Linked DNA regions of Rhinolophus ferrumequinum. The main gene of each other region encodes a partner of the protein of the gene in region 2 in a complex. Links are inferred from orthologs where the notes say so. Each region holds a gene or a part of one and is shown on either strand. Other genes may lie near its edges.

Region 1 (8,086 bases), on a different chromosome or scaffold from region 2:
TGCAGGACCATGCCAGAAGTCCAAACAGTCCTCTCTGAAGCTGAATGCCTCTAGTTCTTCAAACCTCAAGGTCAACTAAGGAGTGACAGGGTCAACTCAAGGAGGTATATATGCTTCTGCAGATTTATCTGCTCAACTCTAAAAATACTATACTGAGTTCAGTACTTATGAGAGGTACAAGTGTGCAAAGAGAGTTAATTCCCAGAAAGCAGGGTAAACTGCTTCAATGTGGTTTACTGGTTACCAAGAAAGCGTTTGTCAATGAACTCATATCATACATAAACGTAGATGTAGAAACAGAACATTTGAAAGTGTCCTCCAGCACTAAAATTCTATCCTTCCTTCTTCTTCTCCTTCTCTTCTTACAGCATATAGCAATCATGCCACCTTTTATGAGTCATATAAACAGAAAACCAATCAAGCAAACAAGGCAACTTTCCTTCTAAGTAAGGTAAATTCATAAGAAATTTTGCTTAGCCATTGATTCTTATGTATCCATTCCTGCTAATGTGATTCATGTTCAATTTGTAGACTAGAAGAGCATAATTTGAATAGTTACTCTATTGGTTAAACAGCTCTGCATTTCCAGACACACTTTCTACTGCAGTCATCTCTATGTTCAGAACAGGACACCTACTAATAAGTTCTGAAGAAGAAAAAGATCATATTTTGACTATCAAAAATCCATATGGAAACTCAGATATCATTTTTTAAAATGTATTGTTTTAAAATGTCAACTATTGTTCTTTCTTCTCCTAAGTTCAAACTAATTGAAGGTTATGAAGTAACCACTTCCCCTCAGAAGCCAGAACTTTCACCTCTTGTGAACAGGGGAATACTGGGTAGAAAATGAGGCCCTGCTGATTGAATGAGAGTCCCAGATTCCTATAGCCTCCAATTCCTTATCTAGACCTTCTATCTACCACAATAAGCAGTACCTGAAAATCAGGTACTACTAAAACTTATTTCATCAATTATCTGGAAGTATGAAAGCAGTGGTAAAAACAACCTGCATATGTATTTGTTTCTCAAACTAGCTTCAAATTGTTTCAAGGAACATGACAAGAGAAATACGTCTCTGAGGAATACAATCACTAAATCTAAAATTCTGCCTATTTCTGACTAATTGAGCTTTTACCAACTGCAACTCAGTCATCACAGACAATTTTGTTTTAAGAGGTAGAAGAAGGAAGTGCAAAGATCAAAGCAGAGCTTAAGAAGGGGAACAACTATTTTTGTATGTATACTCCAGTATTTACTAACTGGGTTTGAAAAATAGAGGCATTTATTCAGCTGATGTGAATGCCAACTGCCGAACATAAGACAAAATTGAAATTACTAAACAAAAATAATAGACTTTCCAATTGCCCCCAACCCCAACTGGATTATAGTATTTCCCTTAAAAAGTCTTCTCAACAATTTAGAAGTGGTTTACTCTTCACAATAAGCAGTATTTCGGTGCCAGCATTAAATCTACACATAATGAGTCTTCCTTTGTGTTCACGTTTGTCCAGTAGGCTGTGGCCCAGGAAGACATTTTATCTAAACGAGCTCCAGGAGGCATTGAGGAGCTGCAGGTATATCAATATGGATAAACAATTTCAGGAGATTTCATGTTTACATTTACCATGTATGTTCTTCTCACTGTAGCAATTTAATTACGTGATCAATGTAAAAGGCTACAAGAAACAAGTCTTTTTATTTCCTGGCTTCCCAAGTTCATAAGCTCAAAAAAATACTTTGCTTTAAATCATTTCCAAAATTCTTTAGTGCATGAAATAGTAAAAGAATTCATTTCTAGAAAGCACAATATTAAAATCAGGAAAACAACATGATTCAGCCAAGGGCTTTATTTTAATCAAGATTCCTTTTTAAAGTTTTAACAAACGCTAATGCAATTCAAAGTGCTCAAGAATACTCAATTGAGGTATTGCTAGAAAAATAAGCACTGAACATCTTGATCTCAAACTTTAGGGTTTCCAAAGCTCATCAGTTTGTAGAACATTTGTATGCCAGGGCTGTTGAGTGTTTTAGTAATACTGTAGTCATTTTCTCAGATTATGGGCTTTATGACAAAATCTGTAAGTTAAATATAGTTATTTAATAAGCTGCAGTGCTGAAAAACCCTACTTAACAAATCCATGAAAATGTCTTAAATCTTGATAATCAGATACTGTGTCATTAAGTCCCATTTAAGTTTCAGAATAGGCCAATAAATCAGGGCAAACACCTCCATCAGTATTTATTTATTTTTAAAGACCATGAGAAAACTTGGATCTAGGCTAGGCTTTGTTTATAGCATTTTTTTGTTTTAGAGGTCATGCACAACACATGGTACCGTTTTCCAAGTGTTTCATAATCAGAGTGTCCAAAAAGTGATCTAAATAGGTAATTTCTTTTCTCTCTCAAATGCCAGGCCCTGGAGATCAGTCTCAGGCCCTCGTTTTTTTTTTGAAAACCAATGTCCAGATCCTATAGTAGGTGAATATATTATGTCCTGGTGCGTGTGTGTGTGTGTGAAGTGGGGGCTTCTTTTTTGAAGGAATAAGGCTGTCCTATTCAATTTGGGGGAGCTGGGGAGGGCTTCCCCAGCCGAGAGGACTGCCATGCACTTCTGCTTTCATTTCATGGAACGCCCTTAGGTGAAATCTGGTTCAGCACTGCACCAACCACCTTCCCCTCTTTCCTTCGCGCCCAAGCGCACCTCAACCTTAAAGCCACCCCGCAGCAGGGAGTGGGGGTGAGGATTAAAAAAAGTTTGCCAGAGTTCCCCTCTGGTTCCGTTCCCGCCTGGCGGAAGGACGGGAAGAGAAAGGGCAGCCCGGGCAGCCGTGGCCCTCGGGCCGACTGGCCCCCGCCAAGTCCGGATGTGCCTTTCCCCCCTCTCGCCAATCTCTTAACTCCTGTCAACCTCCTCCTAGGGTCCAGGGTAGCGGCTATCGCAGGAATGAGGAAGTCCTAGCAGGGCTGGAGGGGTGCGGGGCGGGTAGGTGGCGGGACTCGGGCCGCAAGTCCCCGGCGTGGCCCCCACTTGCCCGAGTTTGGCTTACCGTGGTGGCGGGTCCGCGCTCGGCCTCCCGGCGCCTGCGGGCTCCCCCTCCGGGGCGGCGCGGGCCTCGGGGCCGCGTTAGGAGGAGGCGGAGGCCGGCCGGGGCCAAAGCACGTCCGAGTGCGGGTCTGATCGGGTCCGGACGAGAGGGCGCGCGGTCTCGCCGGGCCGGGCCAGTCAGCGCCGCGCCATGTCGCAGCGCGGGCGGAGGGAAGCGCGGGGCGCGCGGTGGCCGGGCCGCGGCGGCGCCGCCTTCCCGGCCGCGGCGGCTCTGGCCTGGGCTGCGCGGGGTCTCGGAGAGGGGCCGGCGGCGGGGCGCAGGCCGAGGGCGGCGGCGTTGAGGAGAGGCCCGACGGACGGGCAGGGCAGGGGAAGCTGTCAGCGCGTCGCCGGGCCGCTCCGGTGGCGAAACCTCCTCTTCCTGCCCCGGCTCGCTGGTGCACTTCTCTGTCTCTCTGTCTTGCTCACTCTCTCACTTCCTGGCTGGAAATTCCCACTGACGTCGAGCGAGAAGACAGACAGACGGACACACGCGCGCACGCCGCGGGGGCGGGAGGTGGGGTCGCCACCGGGGGTGGGGGAAGCCCGCACTTCTGGGGCCGCTGTGCGCCCCCGGTTCGGCCCCGCAGCCCCGCTCGGCTCCCGCCCCTCGGGGCCGCTTCGGGGCGGAGAACGAGGCGCGCGGTCCGAGGCCCGGACGCCGGAGTCCCCTGCGGAGCTCCTGCTCCCGGGCCGGCGCTCCCGGAGCCCCGAGGGCTGGAGCGGCCAGGGACGCCCCCTGAAGCGCCACCGGGGCCCGATTGCCCCGGGAAGCAGGCGGCACGGAGGCGGTGGCGTAGGGCTGGCTGTTGGATTCGGGAGGTCCAGAGCCCCTAAGGACAGGCCCAAGCACCTGGAGAGGATGATGAGTCGGCGTGGAGCTAAGCATGCCTTGTATAAAAATAAATCTCATCTGTCTGTTCCCTTTAAATTGTCTCAGTTACACCCAAATCTTTTCACAAATTAAAGTGGAATTTCTATGATATAACCGACTTCTGTCCAGCGCAGTCTGAGCATCTGAGTTTCGGTAACTTGGTTGGGACTTATTCTGAACTCCCATCTACAGGGCATTATGATAATTACGGTGGATAGAATTATAGTGATGGTGGTAGCAGTGGTTTTGGTCCACAGCTCATAAAGAAATATTGATCCAACAGAAGGGAGTTTTTCTTTTTCTTTTTCTTTTTTTTCTGGAGAGACCGCTGCTGGAACGTCCAGCAGGCATCCCACCATTCACTAGATCTGAGCTTCTTTACTTTCCAGGCATTGCGCTAGACACGGGCTGGGGATACCCTGGGGTAGTTTAGCTCCCTCAATGAGAAACTTTGAGTGGATATTTTAGAGTTCATTATCTCACCACTGTGACAACTGCATATTTTAAAACATAGGTCATCAAGCCATCACCAGGCAGTGTTGCTATGACATTGGATTGCCCCTAGCAAGTTGGCCATGTTCCCTTTAGTCGTCCTCCTCGCCCTTGCCCCAACCTCCCCAAGGTTATAAGAATCTTCTTGGTGGAGTGTTTGGCGGAGAAGTAGAGATCCGTTTGATTGGGTCCGGGGTGAGTCTCTGCAATGACCTTGGGGACCAACCAACAATCTACGTTCAAGGGATTTCGTTTAACTCCCACAGGCTGTTTGAACAGCTGTAATTCAGGCGATTTATGAAGACTGAAGACTGTTTTACAAACACTGCGTTATTACGTATGGGACATTATTAGAAATTGCGCCAATACTGTATTTTAGATTAATATATCCTTTGTATATATTTTTTGGTCACTGACATGAGCATAAATAGTGCAAACTCCCATGAAACAACCAAGTATTAGAGGAGTGGTGGTGTTTTTTTCTTGTTTGTGGAGCAGGTGTGAACAGCCACACTCTTCATTCCAGGCATGGGGTTGAGGCGTTGAGGGGGTAGTGAATAGCCTGTTGCCGAAAGAATGGACAGACAGGGTTGGATTGTTGGAAGAATAGAGCCAGCGTGACATATTGGGAACAAGTAAAAGGTGTTAATTAGTGAAAAACATTAAATTAAATTTCAAACTCAAAATTATCCAATAGAGTGGACTTAAAATTGAGGGCTGGGTGTTAGGCAGGAGTATGTAGTTTCCTAGAGGTACCTTAACAAGTTACCACAAACTGGGTGGCTTACGACAATGGAAATTGATTCTCTCACAGTTCTAGAGGCCAGAAATCGGAAATCAGGGTGTCAGCAGACCCATGCTCCCTCTGAAGGCTCCAAGAAAGAATCGTTTCTTGACTCTTCCTAGCTTCTGGTAGCTCCCGGCTATCTTTGGTATTCCTTGGCTTTTAGCTGCGTAACTCCAATTTCTGCCTCTGTCCTCACATGGCCTTCTTGCCTGTGTCTCTGTATCCAAATCACCTTCTTCTCTCTCGTATTAAGACACCAGTTATTGGACCTAGAGCCCACCTCAATCCGGTATAGCCTCATTTTACCTTCATTAATCTGCAAAGACCCTATTTCCAAATAAGGTCATGCTCATATGTACCTAGGATAAGGCCTTGGACATATTTTTGAGGGGGACACAATCAAATACACTAAGCAGACAAAAGTATAAAAGCCCCCAGTCTACTCTTTTTGGCTTATCAGTTAACCTTTCTGCATTGCTGCTTTGTTTCCCAATACTTACTCTACACCTGCTTCCAGGAGTGTTTCTTACAAATTAGGTGTCAGAGGGCATTTGCCATTATCAGAGTATAATGAAAAAAAAAGCCTAAATGTGGAATTTTAGGCATCAAGTTTATAAAAGTTGTACTGTGTTTATCACTAAATCTTTGAAATCACATGAATTTCCTTTTTCAAACTGAGTATTATAAATGTCAGTGTCCAGAAGTTTGTTAGGTTGAGATCTATATAGTGTGTCCATTGACAATGAGAGATTATATAGTGTGTGAAGGGGATTCACAAATACAAAATTATACATCTGAGCCCTGCAAACTCAGACCCATCTTGTGGACAGGAGTGAACTATATTTCTGTAAAGGGTAGAACTTGCTTCAGGTCACGAAGGCACCTCAACATGCTTAGAAACACTCAGACCACAGCTGTTAGGTAAGATAAAATGGAAAGACTTGAGTAGACTTGAAATCAGACTTGAGTTGGAATCCTAGGTTTGCCTTGAATTATCTGTGTAATTTTTGCCAAGTACTGCTTTGTATGAGTTTCAGTTTCTTTGCCTGTACAATAATCATAACATTATAGTTCATATGATGAGCTCTAGAATAGCTTTACATAACATTTTATGTATGTTGTATTGCTATGATCTGAATATTTGCATTCCCCCAAAATTCATATGTTGAATTCCTAACCCCTAAGGTGATGGTATTAGGAGGCAGGGCACTTGGGAGGTGATTAGGTCATGAGGGCAGAACCCTCAGGATTTGGATAAGTGCCCTTATGAAAAAGACCCAAGAGAGCCAGCTGCTCCCTACCATCGTATGACGATATAATTAAAAGTCTGTGACTTGGAAGAGAGCCCTTACCCAACGATGATGGCACCCTGATCTTGAACTATGAGAAGTAAATTTCTATTTATAAACCACAGGGTCTGGTATTTCGTTATAGCAACACAAGTTAGTAGATTAACACATGTATGTATACATACATAAGTAACAACTTATATGTTGCATTATGCATATATGTTACATTATTACAATCCTGCCTCACAGAGGTCTAGAAACAAATAGGAGATAAAGAATGTAAAAGGTTTTACAAACATAAAGTTAGTCTAAGAAAAAAGACTTGAAATTAATTTCCTTGTGGGCTTAAGGGACTTCTATGCTTGCACTGTTGACTACTGGGGCACACAATAGTGGCATCTCTCCTTGTTGATAGTGGAGTATTTCATTACACCTCCATTTAAAAGGCTTGCCATATTCTGTCTTGTGCTTGCAGTTACAGGTCTTATTGACGGAGCACTCAATTAGCCTGTATAAGTGGTTACAAAAGAAAAAGAAGATGTAATCTCTGCTCGCAATATAAAGCCAGGAAGAATGACCTCATATAATAGCCAGGACAAAAGTGATTTGTGTAATGGGTCATATCACCAAGAGTAAAATCAACAGAAGAGGGCGTAGAGATCATCTTCCTCTCGAGATTATATGCAGAATCCAGAGTTTTATTCCGTTGGCAATGCAGACACACTGAAATGAGACAATAAATTTACAAGAAGAATGTCACTGGTCTTAAGGATACTAGCATCTTTTCTATCAATTCAAATGAATATTTACGCACTATCATCACTGCCTTCAAAGAGTTCACAAAACACAAAAGAGTGCGTGTAATTATAGTATGAGGCAGAGTACAGTAAATGCCTTCATGGAGGTTTAAGCAAATGCTTAGGCATAGGTAGGGAGAGAGACCACAGTGCTTGCATTGTGCCTGGTGGTTAAGCTCTCGGACTGAGGAAAACAGGTGCTACCTTCAGATTGGAAGCCAGTGCCTGACTGTGCCCTTCACAGAAAATAATTCACTCCTGTTCTGCCCTGAGTAGTTATGTGACCCTGGACAAGGTGCATAACTGTTCCGGCCTTCTTTTTCTCATCTGTAAGATAGGATGATAGTTATGCCCGCCTTGTAGTGCTATTGTAAGGGTCTAAAGAGATCATGCACATGAAGTGCAGACCAAAGTGCCACATGCTCAGGAAACTCGCATTTATATTGGTTATTATTATGAATACTGTTGTTTCTTTCAGGAAAACTTGATGAAGAAGATAGCATGTAGTGGATGTTGGAATGGTAGGTATGATACAATAGCAAAATGATCAGAAGAAAGAAGACAGACAGATGAGGGGGAGTGAGACTTACAAGGTCTGAGTTTATAACATTGTAACAAAAAGACTTAAGTGGAATTGTACCTTGAAATAATTAATGTAAAAAGAAATCTAGATTTTTTTTTCCCCAGGCACCCACCAGTCAAAAATTGTTTTGTCTAATAGCACATCTCTAAAGTATATTCATAACACTTAAAATTTGT
Region 2 (7,782 bases):
TGAAAGGTTTAACAATACCTCATTGCTACATGTCACAGGATACAACTGGGCTTAGCCACTGAATCCATGGTGGTTCAATCAAAAAGCACAATAAATAAAATGTAGTCCTTTCATCAAATTTTGGATCACCTTCTCTAAAAACCCCGCAATGGTGAGGTTTACAAAGAGGTTTTCTTTGAATTCCAATGCTCTTTCTTGTCCCCCTTCCAAAGTTCACAAAAAAGAGGGCTGATCCACCCCAGTAAAACGTCTCAGGCCAGGCAGTGTGGTTGTAAGTACACCCTTTTGATTTTTTTTTTCTTTTCTTTTTTTCTTAGAAAAATAAAACTCTCTTTTTGTACAAATATACAAGTCCATGTTCTTTCAGATACTTTCCAAAGCTCATAATTTCAGGCGCTGGCCTCCAAACACACAGTCATCATATGGCAGCTAAAAACAAGAGGAAAAAAGCATGTTAAACTTCCAAAACTTTTGCTAGGGGTGCTGGGATAATGGTGAGGGCATAATACTAGAAATAACCCAAGTATTTGTGGACTCCATTCTCTATAACCCAAATAGAAATTAACTTCATGGACTGAGGTAGTTTTCCTTTAATGCTCTTCTTTAAAAAAGGCAAAAAGACACACACTTGGGATATACTAAAGTTTGAGAACTTCATTATGTTGAGACCTTTGGGTAAAGAGTAGCTCTAGGGGCCTGGGAGGGTGGAGAATGACCATCTCACTCCTTTTTGTAGAATGAACTTGAGACTCACCTCGTCCTCTGTGAACTCTGACTCGGTGTCGTAACTCTCTTCATCTTCACTCTCTGGCAGCATCTGAAGGTTTTCTAGGGTCAGCTGGCCCAGCTGCTGTTGTATCCGGGTGCTTGGGCGACCCCAGGTGAGTTGATATGGGGAGTAGCCCTGGTAGGTGACTCTATTGACATCAGCCCCACACTTCAACAAGAGCGACACCAGGTCGGGGTTCTGTAAGTCCACCGCGAGATGAAGGGCAGTTCGGCCATTACACGGCTCCTGAAACCGAAAGGAATTTGAGATGCTTTAGGCTGAATTTGGAATTTTGGCTTGTAATGAGGGCACGTGAAGTCTGTGAGGAGGGCGCTGAGCGTGCTGCCCTCCACCTGGAGGCATGAGGCACTCACCTGAGCATTGACATCAGCACCCAAGGACACCAAAAGCTCCACGATGCCCAGGTAGCCATGGATAGAAGCTAAGTGCAGACACGTGTGGCCTAGAAGAACAAAAGGAAAAAAGTATAACCACTTGTTTCAATCCTCACATCTGAAACAAAACCTTTCACCTATTCTTTTAAGGGACAAATTCTTCTGAATATGAACAACCCAGGATCTGAGATCTGAATGAACTTTATAAAGGCATCAAATAGGCCTTTTACACACACGTTTGCTCAACCCATCACACGCTGATAGTTTAAGCTCTTGCCTGGACTCTCTAAGTTGGCCCACCTCTCCCTTCCCGTGTCACCTGCCCTCTGATGGGCAGGGCAGGCAGACGTACCATTGTAGTTGGTGGCCTGCAGGATAGAGTGGAGGTGCTGGGTCCCACAGCTCTGAGTCAGGACTCCCACACTGGCCAGGCAGCCCTGCTCACAGGCAAGGTGTAGGGGGGTATTTCCTCGAAAGTCTCGGAGCTCAGGATCACAGCCAGCTTCCAGAAGTGCCTCAGCAATTTCTGGCTGGTTAGTAATCACAGCCAAGTGGAGTGGAGTCTACAAACAGAAGAGGGAACAGAAAGAGGATTAAGCCACGGACCAAACCCACAGTCTGAGTTCCCTTGAACCCCCCTAGATCCCTAGTTTGCGGGGGGTTGCTGCTCCCAGACAGGTGCAAGGGACAAAGCAAATACCAAAGGCCCCAGGTGGGCTTCATAAAGGCCACAGCAAATTAATGGGATGTTCTTTACTTTCTAGAATGCTGGCTGATTCGGATGTAAAAAGTCAGAGCGGATAATGACCACGACTATGAATTTATAAAGCATTGGGAGCAACTGTGCTAGACCACGGGGTCAGAGAGGCCCGGGGCTGGGCAAGAGGCGCACCTGCTGCAGGTTGTTCTGGAAGTTAAGAAAGGCCAGGTCTCCCTTCACTTGGCGGACCACTTCCAGAGTCAGTGCCTTCTCCTCGTGGATAATGGCTAAGTGCAGGAACCTGAGAGGAAAAGAAGGGAAAAACCCCCAGGGCTGGTGAGTACAATGCGTGGGGCCCAGGGAGGCGCGGGCTGCGGGGGATTGCGCAAGGCCGGGGTTTCTGAAGGCCGAGGCCGCGGTGTTTTCCGCGAGGTTATTATGAGCTGAGTGTTCCTGGCAGGCGCCCAGGGACTTTCCGGGCCCCCCCCCCCCCCCCCGCTCCCGGGCGGGCGCCGACCAGACCGCCCCGCCCTCCCGCCGGGCCGGAACGCCCTGTACTTCCCCTCGCTGCGGCACGGCGCCCGCCCGTCGGGCAGAAACTCCCCCCTCCCCCCTTCTGCAAGCGGGGACTTCGCGTCCCCGCCGCCCCGCCCCCGGCCGAGAGGACCGGGACCGGGCAGGGGAGTGTGAACGGCTGCAAGGCCGAGCTGCGGAACCGCGGCCCCGGGAACGAACCCTGATCCTCTGCCCTCATGCAGCTTTACCCGGCCTCGGGGTCGGTGCATAAACCCCGATCCACCGCCGCATCGCGCGGGCCCCGAGGCTCGCGCTGCAGGCCCGGCGCCCCCACCCGGCCCCGTCACCCAGGCCTGCGACACTTACGAGTCTCCGTCCTCCGTGAGCTGCTGCTTCCAGGGCTCCGCGCTGCGCGGCGCCTCCTGCGGCTCCAGGCGGATCTCCCGCAGCTCCTTCACCATCTGCTCATAGTCCTCGTCCTTCATGGAGTCCAGGCCGCTGTCGTGGCGGTCGTCCAGCAGCCGCTCCTTCTTGAGCGCGTCCCGGGGGCCCTCCATGGCCCAGTCCTGGGCGTGCTCGGCGGGGTGAAACATGGCGCAGTGACTGCTCAGGCGCTGCTCCCCAGGTGCGCTCGGCTGCGGGCTGCGCGCTCCCTTCTTCGCAGTGTCGCAGGCGGGTTAGGACTGTTGTGGGCTCGGCAGCGCCGCCGCGGCGCCCTATAAACGCTGGCAGGGGATTTCTCCGGGGCGGGGTCAGGCGCGGGGAATTTCCAAGCCAGTCAGACCAGAAAAGAGAACTGGCCTCGTTCTACGGCGGAGGGAAAGCAATCTAAACCCTAAGCAGGGTTCATCAGAGAAACTCCCAGCGATGAGCCACTGGGGTCATGCACAGGGAACTTTTTGATGAACGCTGAGTGGCTGGAAAGTCCTCCCGACAAGGCCCCCTCCCGGTACTTCCCTGCAGCCTGCACTCAGTAATCTTGTCCCTCTGCAAGAAACCTTCTTTCCCTGGGGTTTCCCACGATCGATTGGATTTGGGGTCCTCGGCTGCAGAGATCCCAAAGATGCAGACTTGCTGGGCGGTTCCTCGTTGGGGTTTGCCAACCTGCCGGTCTTTTCCGTTTTTTTGATCTATTGGAAACGCGAGTGGAAATGATGGCTGGGTGTAGGGATTCGTTTCCTCAAACTTCTGTCTGCAGGGAAGAACGCACTGGCGGGGAGAAGGGATGCCTCTGCGTGCCTGCTGACCCCAGGCTGTTTGCAGTGCAGGGACACGTAGCACTCCCCCAGCCCCCTCAGGTAGAAGGTGTGCAAGTTTTGGCGTTAAAAACCTAAATGCTTGGAGAGCCCTCAACTAGTTTCCTCGGGACTAAAAATCCTGGTGACTGGGGAGGGGTAAGCACTCTGCCCTCTCTCCCCTGTATGTGAGAAAATGCTGAACAGGAACTTTTTTTTAAAAGTAGGGCAAGGTAGTAGAGGTTGTAGATGCTTGACAATAACGAAATAATTATTGAGGTGGTTGTGCTCCCTGAATTGCACTGTGGTGCTGCAGAGAATGGATCCTGAGCCTACTTCGGGGTGCCACGCTGGGCAACTTTCCAGAGGCATTTGGAGAAGGACGCTGAAGAATGGGTTGAGTGGTGACTTACTACCTAACATTGGGCCTTAAGTGATGGCTAAGAAAGTAGCTGCTAGGCATACTGCAGGAAGCTCAAGGGGTGCCAACTAGTCCCCATCCTGCCCCTCCTGGTTCCTTGCTCTCCTGTCCTGGGGGAGGGCAGCGGTTGGACTTACCATGCATGCAATGTGGGTAGGCACTCCAGGCTCACTATCCTCTGTTTTCAACTACAGAAATAGAATGTATACTCTCCTCTGCACCCTCACCTCCTAGCCAACAATCCAGTGAAGTTAATTGATTGACCCTTAGCATTGGTCCCGGCAAAACAAAGCAACTTTGGTCCCAATTCTTCACAATTAGTTCCAAGAGGTCTCTCATAGTTTTGCAGATTTCTGAGGGTTGTTGCAATCATCTTTAACTTGCCGGGCCATGTACTTACCAAGCTTGATCCTCTCTGAATCTCCCTCTCCTCAGCCCTCACCCCCATATCTGAATGTAGGGAATCTGGGTCAGTGAGGGTGACAGACAAAATATGGGGGGGGGGAGTAAAATCAAGAAATAAAACCTTCATGGTAGTAATGATCACATGCTAAAATGAAAACTTCCCAGGGATACACTCTGCTGTCTCTGTAGGCATGTGATACACAACTACACAAGTTTTCAGGCAAGGTGGAACAGTGACTATAAGTAGAAGATCTCAATTCCAGGCTCTATCTCTAATTAAGTGCATCTTAATTGGAGGTATCAATTAACTTTGCTGTAGTATACCTGCTTGGATTTAATGCTTTTTGGGTTTTTTTTTCCCCCAGCTTAAAAATTGTATTAGTTGGCCACACATGCATGTATAAACCCCTGCTTAAGAGTGATCGTGTCTCTTGGAAATTCACAGTATATATTTTTGGAAGGACTCCAGCACCTTATGCAACACATTGTTCTCAGAACTAATCTTGTAAGATAGGTAATATTCCTACTTTCCTAAAAATAAACTGAAATGCAGAGAAATTTACCTAGGTACCCCATGGCAGTTAATCTAATTTCTGTCCCAACATATTAATCATTTGGCCAAAGCTGTTGTGGTAGGTATTAACACTTTTGAAGACACATTTTGAAAATGAGACCGAATATGTTATAATTTGGAAGATACTCAAAGTATTTTCTGCTCCAATTGTTGGATAAAATAGAGGGTAGATGTTTCCCTATCGGGGGTATTCATGTCTGTAAGAAAAAAAGTACAGAAAAGTCGAACTTGAGATGCCCCACTAATAAAAGGGTACCATAGGAGAGAATTTTTAGCTGCAGGTTTCAAATGATTATTAAAAAAGAAAATCATAAAAAGAAAGAAAAAATCATGCATAAGTAAAAGTATCTAGGGAGTAAGTTTCTTTGTACCTCTTTTAATGACTTTATGTTCTTGATGGCCTTAAGGACCTAGTCGTCTTTATTCCCAATTGTTTAGTGTGATTCCTGGTGGTAAGAGTCAGGCGCAGGTGTTCTCTGATTTGTCTCAGAGGTTTTGGGAATTTGGCGAGGTGCCAAGCCTTGGTGACCTGTCCCTATGGTGGGGATTCCCAAGGAGGTACCTTTTGTTTTTCTGCAACCTGGGAGACAGTTTTGAATAATGTGATCCAACAGGTTTTCTCTCTATCATCTATAGCTCTCTACATTGAAATCAACAAATATTACAACTTGGGCAATAAAGAACACACTTGGAAATCAGAAAACATGAGCAGAAGGGCCAGAAAAAGACAGCAAAACTTTGATTTCTGGTTTAGAAAGACCTTTATGGACTCCTGGGCACTTAGGGTTCTCCCCACCTCATTGTCACACATTTTAGCTCATCTTGACCATTTTGAAGATGTTAAACCTTAGGTAACTAATTTTTAAATGTCATTTGGCTTTTTTATTTTGAATGCAGAAGAAGGCAAACGAATGAATCTGTTAACCCCGAAGCTGCTTTATAGTTTAGTGCAGAATGCAGCCATAGAGAAGGAGAGGATGGCCAGGGGTGCTCAGGGGCTTCACTGTGGGCAGGCGCACCCCTCTGGGAAAAGGAGCACCAGTGTGTGACTTCATTTATTCTTCCTGGGTGGGAAATGCACAATGTGGACTGAACCTACGGCCTGAAGTGCCCAATGGCCTGGCAATGTGGAGATGCTTCTCTAAGTTCAGCCAAGTGGACCAACATATTTGGCTTTTCCTAATATCCTGGGCAGCGTGTCCTGTGCCAGTTGCCCTAGCCAATTGAAATTGTTTTAGCCCCAGCATATAGAACTGCAAAAGGCTACCCATCACTCAGTGCAGCCAGGCTGGGAGAGAGAGGAGCGCGACAGAGTCCTGAAGGCCAAGTGAGTCCGACACACTGCTGATGGACCGCGCTGCTGCGAAATTCTGAATTTATATTCTGCTTCCAATCCCAGGCTCAGTCTTCTTTCCACCTCTAGTGGTTAGCAACCACCTGCATCCATCCTCCTCAGAATCTGAGCTCCCAAGCTCTGAATTTCCCCACAGAAAAACAGCTGTCAGGACCTTTATTCATAGTGACCTGCAAATAAGACGGTCAATGCGTTTATGTGTATCTTTTGCTACAAATTCTGCGTTTTGATGGGGATCAAAGTGTTAAAGGGTATCGAACTCAAATACTTACCTTATAGGGGCCAGATAGGTTTCACAGAGGAGTGAAGGTGGCCGTGTGAGTCCAAGAGGGAATGGTGGCATCTTCAGCAGTTGGCCTGACAGCATGTCCACAGCTCAGGCAATGTTTGCCAAACAGCACTTTGCATTCAGTACTGATGTTAAGAAAAAAAAAAATCAAAACATGGATTTTGATGTGACCATTTTCAAGTTTTAAAATATTGTGAAAACCAAATAAAATGCATTTCTGCAACTTTTGGCAACATGGAGCCCACAGGCCCTGATCTTACAACCTGTTTCTCAGCCAGGGTATGATGTTTTCATGGTGCTTTGGGAGAAGGCACTCACCTTCAGCTCCCGTGGTGTCAGGGGGTCTCTGCTCCTCCGTGTAAATGGAGGCTGGGGTGGAGTGTGTCCATCTAGGAAGTGTGGTCTGCCCTGGCAGGCAGGGTTGGAATCAGAGGCTCTAAGCCCTGAAGAAAACTTGATCCCTCCCTCAAAGAACTGTTCAACACTACACTGTAAAATTAGTATAACAAGTTCAACCAAGTTCTGGTTTTTCTCACAATAAACATCTTTTTGGGGTGTTCCTGCTCTGCTCGTACCCCAACCTTGTGCCCAGCTTGTCTGTTGGGTAACCTGCCGTCAGGGAAGGAGGAGGCCTGCATGTGTCATCCCTGCACGTGTCAGCCCCCAGCCAGAATTCCTGGCTCTCCCTTTTCACTGTTTGTAGGCAGTAACCAAGGAGTACCTACCTGTAGGGGTGTAGGTTGTTCGCGTTCTGTTGTGTTTGTGGAGAAGTAGTTGGATCAGGAAGAGAAGTAGGCTTAACAGCACATTGCTTCCTCTTGATGCTAGTGTATGTGCTCTTTTGTCTTGGGTGTAAATTCATCCTGAGTTTAGTCAGGGCGTGAGGGGACTTAGCACTAGGGCCGTTCCACACAAAAGACTGGTACTCAGCTAGATATGGTACATAAATGAGACGAGGTGCCTGATCTTGGCACCATAATCAGGTGAGGAGCTCGTGATCCTTTTTGGTATCAGAGGCAAAATCCACCACCAGAAACTATAGGGATATGGACATTGTTTTCCCTCTATGGTCTAAGGTATGGGGATTGGTTTAGGACAAAGGTAAAAAGAATCACAGCTGCCAA

What was found.
Region 1: the proteins of NFKBIA (region 2) and NFKB1 are in contact, whole or in part, in a crystal structure (PDB 1NFI), measured with the Homo sapiens proteins. The link is inferred for Rhinolophus ferrumequinum from reciprocal best matches to the Homo sapiens genes NFKBIA and NFKB1. Residues at the interface, in NP_065390.1 of Homo sapiens: Asn108, Asn109, Leu110, Gln111, Arg140, Tyr181, Pro214, Cys215, Asn216, Arg218, Tyr248, Gln249; in NP_001158884.1 of Homo sapiens: Lys251, Ile252, Val253, Arg254, Met255, Asp256, Arg257, Thr258, Ala259, Pro326, Lys345, Leu348, Tyr350, Ile353.

The regions. Positions count from the first base shown.
Region 1 is NC_046288.1:53,442,195-53,450,280, reverse strand, and holds the start of NFKB1 (nuclear factor NF-kappa-B p105 subunit), read right to left. Parts: upstream 3,191-8,086; 5' UTR 3,051-3,190; intron 1-3,050.
Region 2 is NC_046289.1:83,503,329-83,511,110, forward strand, and holds NFKBIA (NF-kappa-B inhibitor alpha), read right to left. Parts: upstream 3,098-7,782; 5' UTR 2,974-3,097; coding exon 2,747-2,973; intron 2,166-2,746; coding exon 2,057-2,165; intron 1,728-2,056; coding exon 1,517-1,727; intron 1,233-1,516; coding exon 1,144-1,232; intron 1,016-1,143; coding exon 755-1,015; intron 430-754; coding exon 382-429; 3' UTR 290-381; downstream 1-289. UniProt on the Homo sapiens protein: Inhibits the activity of dimeric NF-kappa-B/REL complexes by trapping REL (RELA/p65 and NFKB1/p50) dimers in the cytoplasm by masking their nuclear localization signals.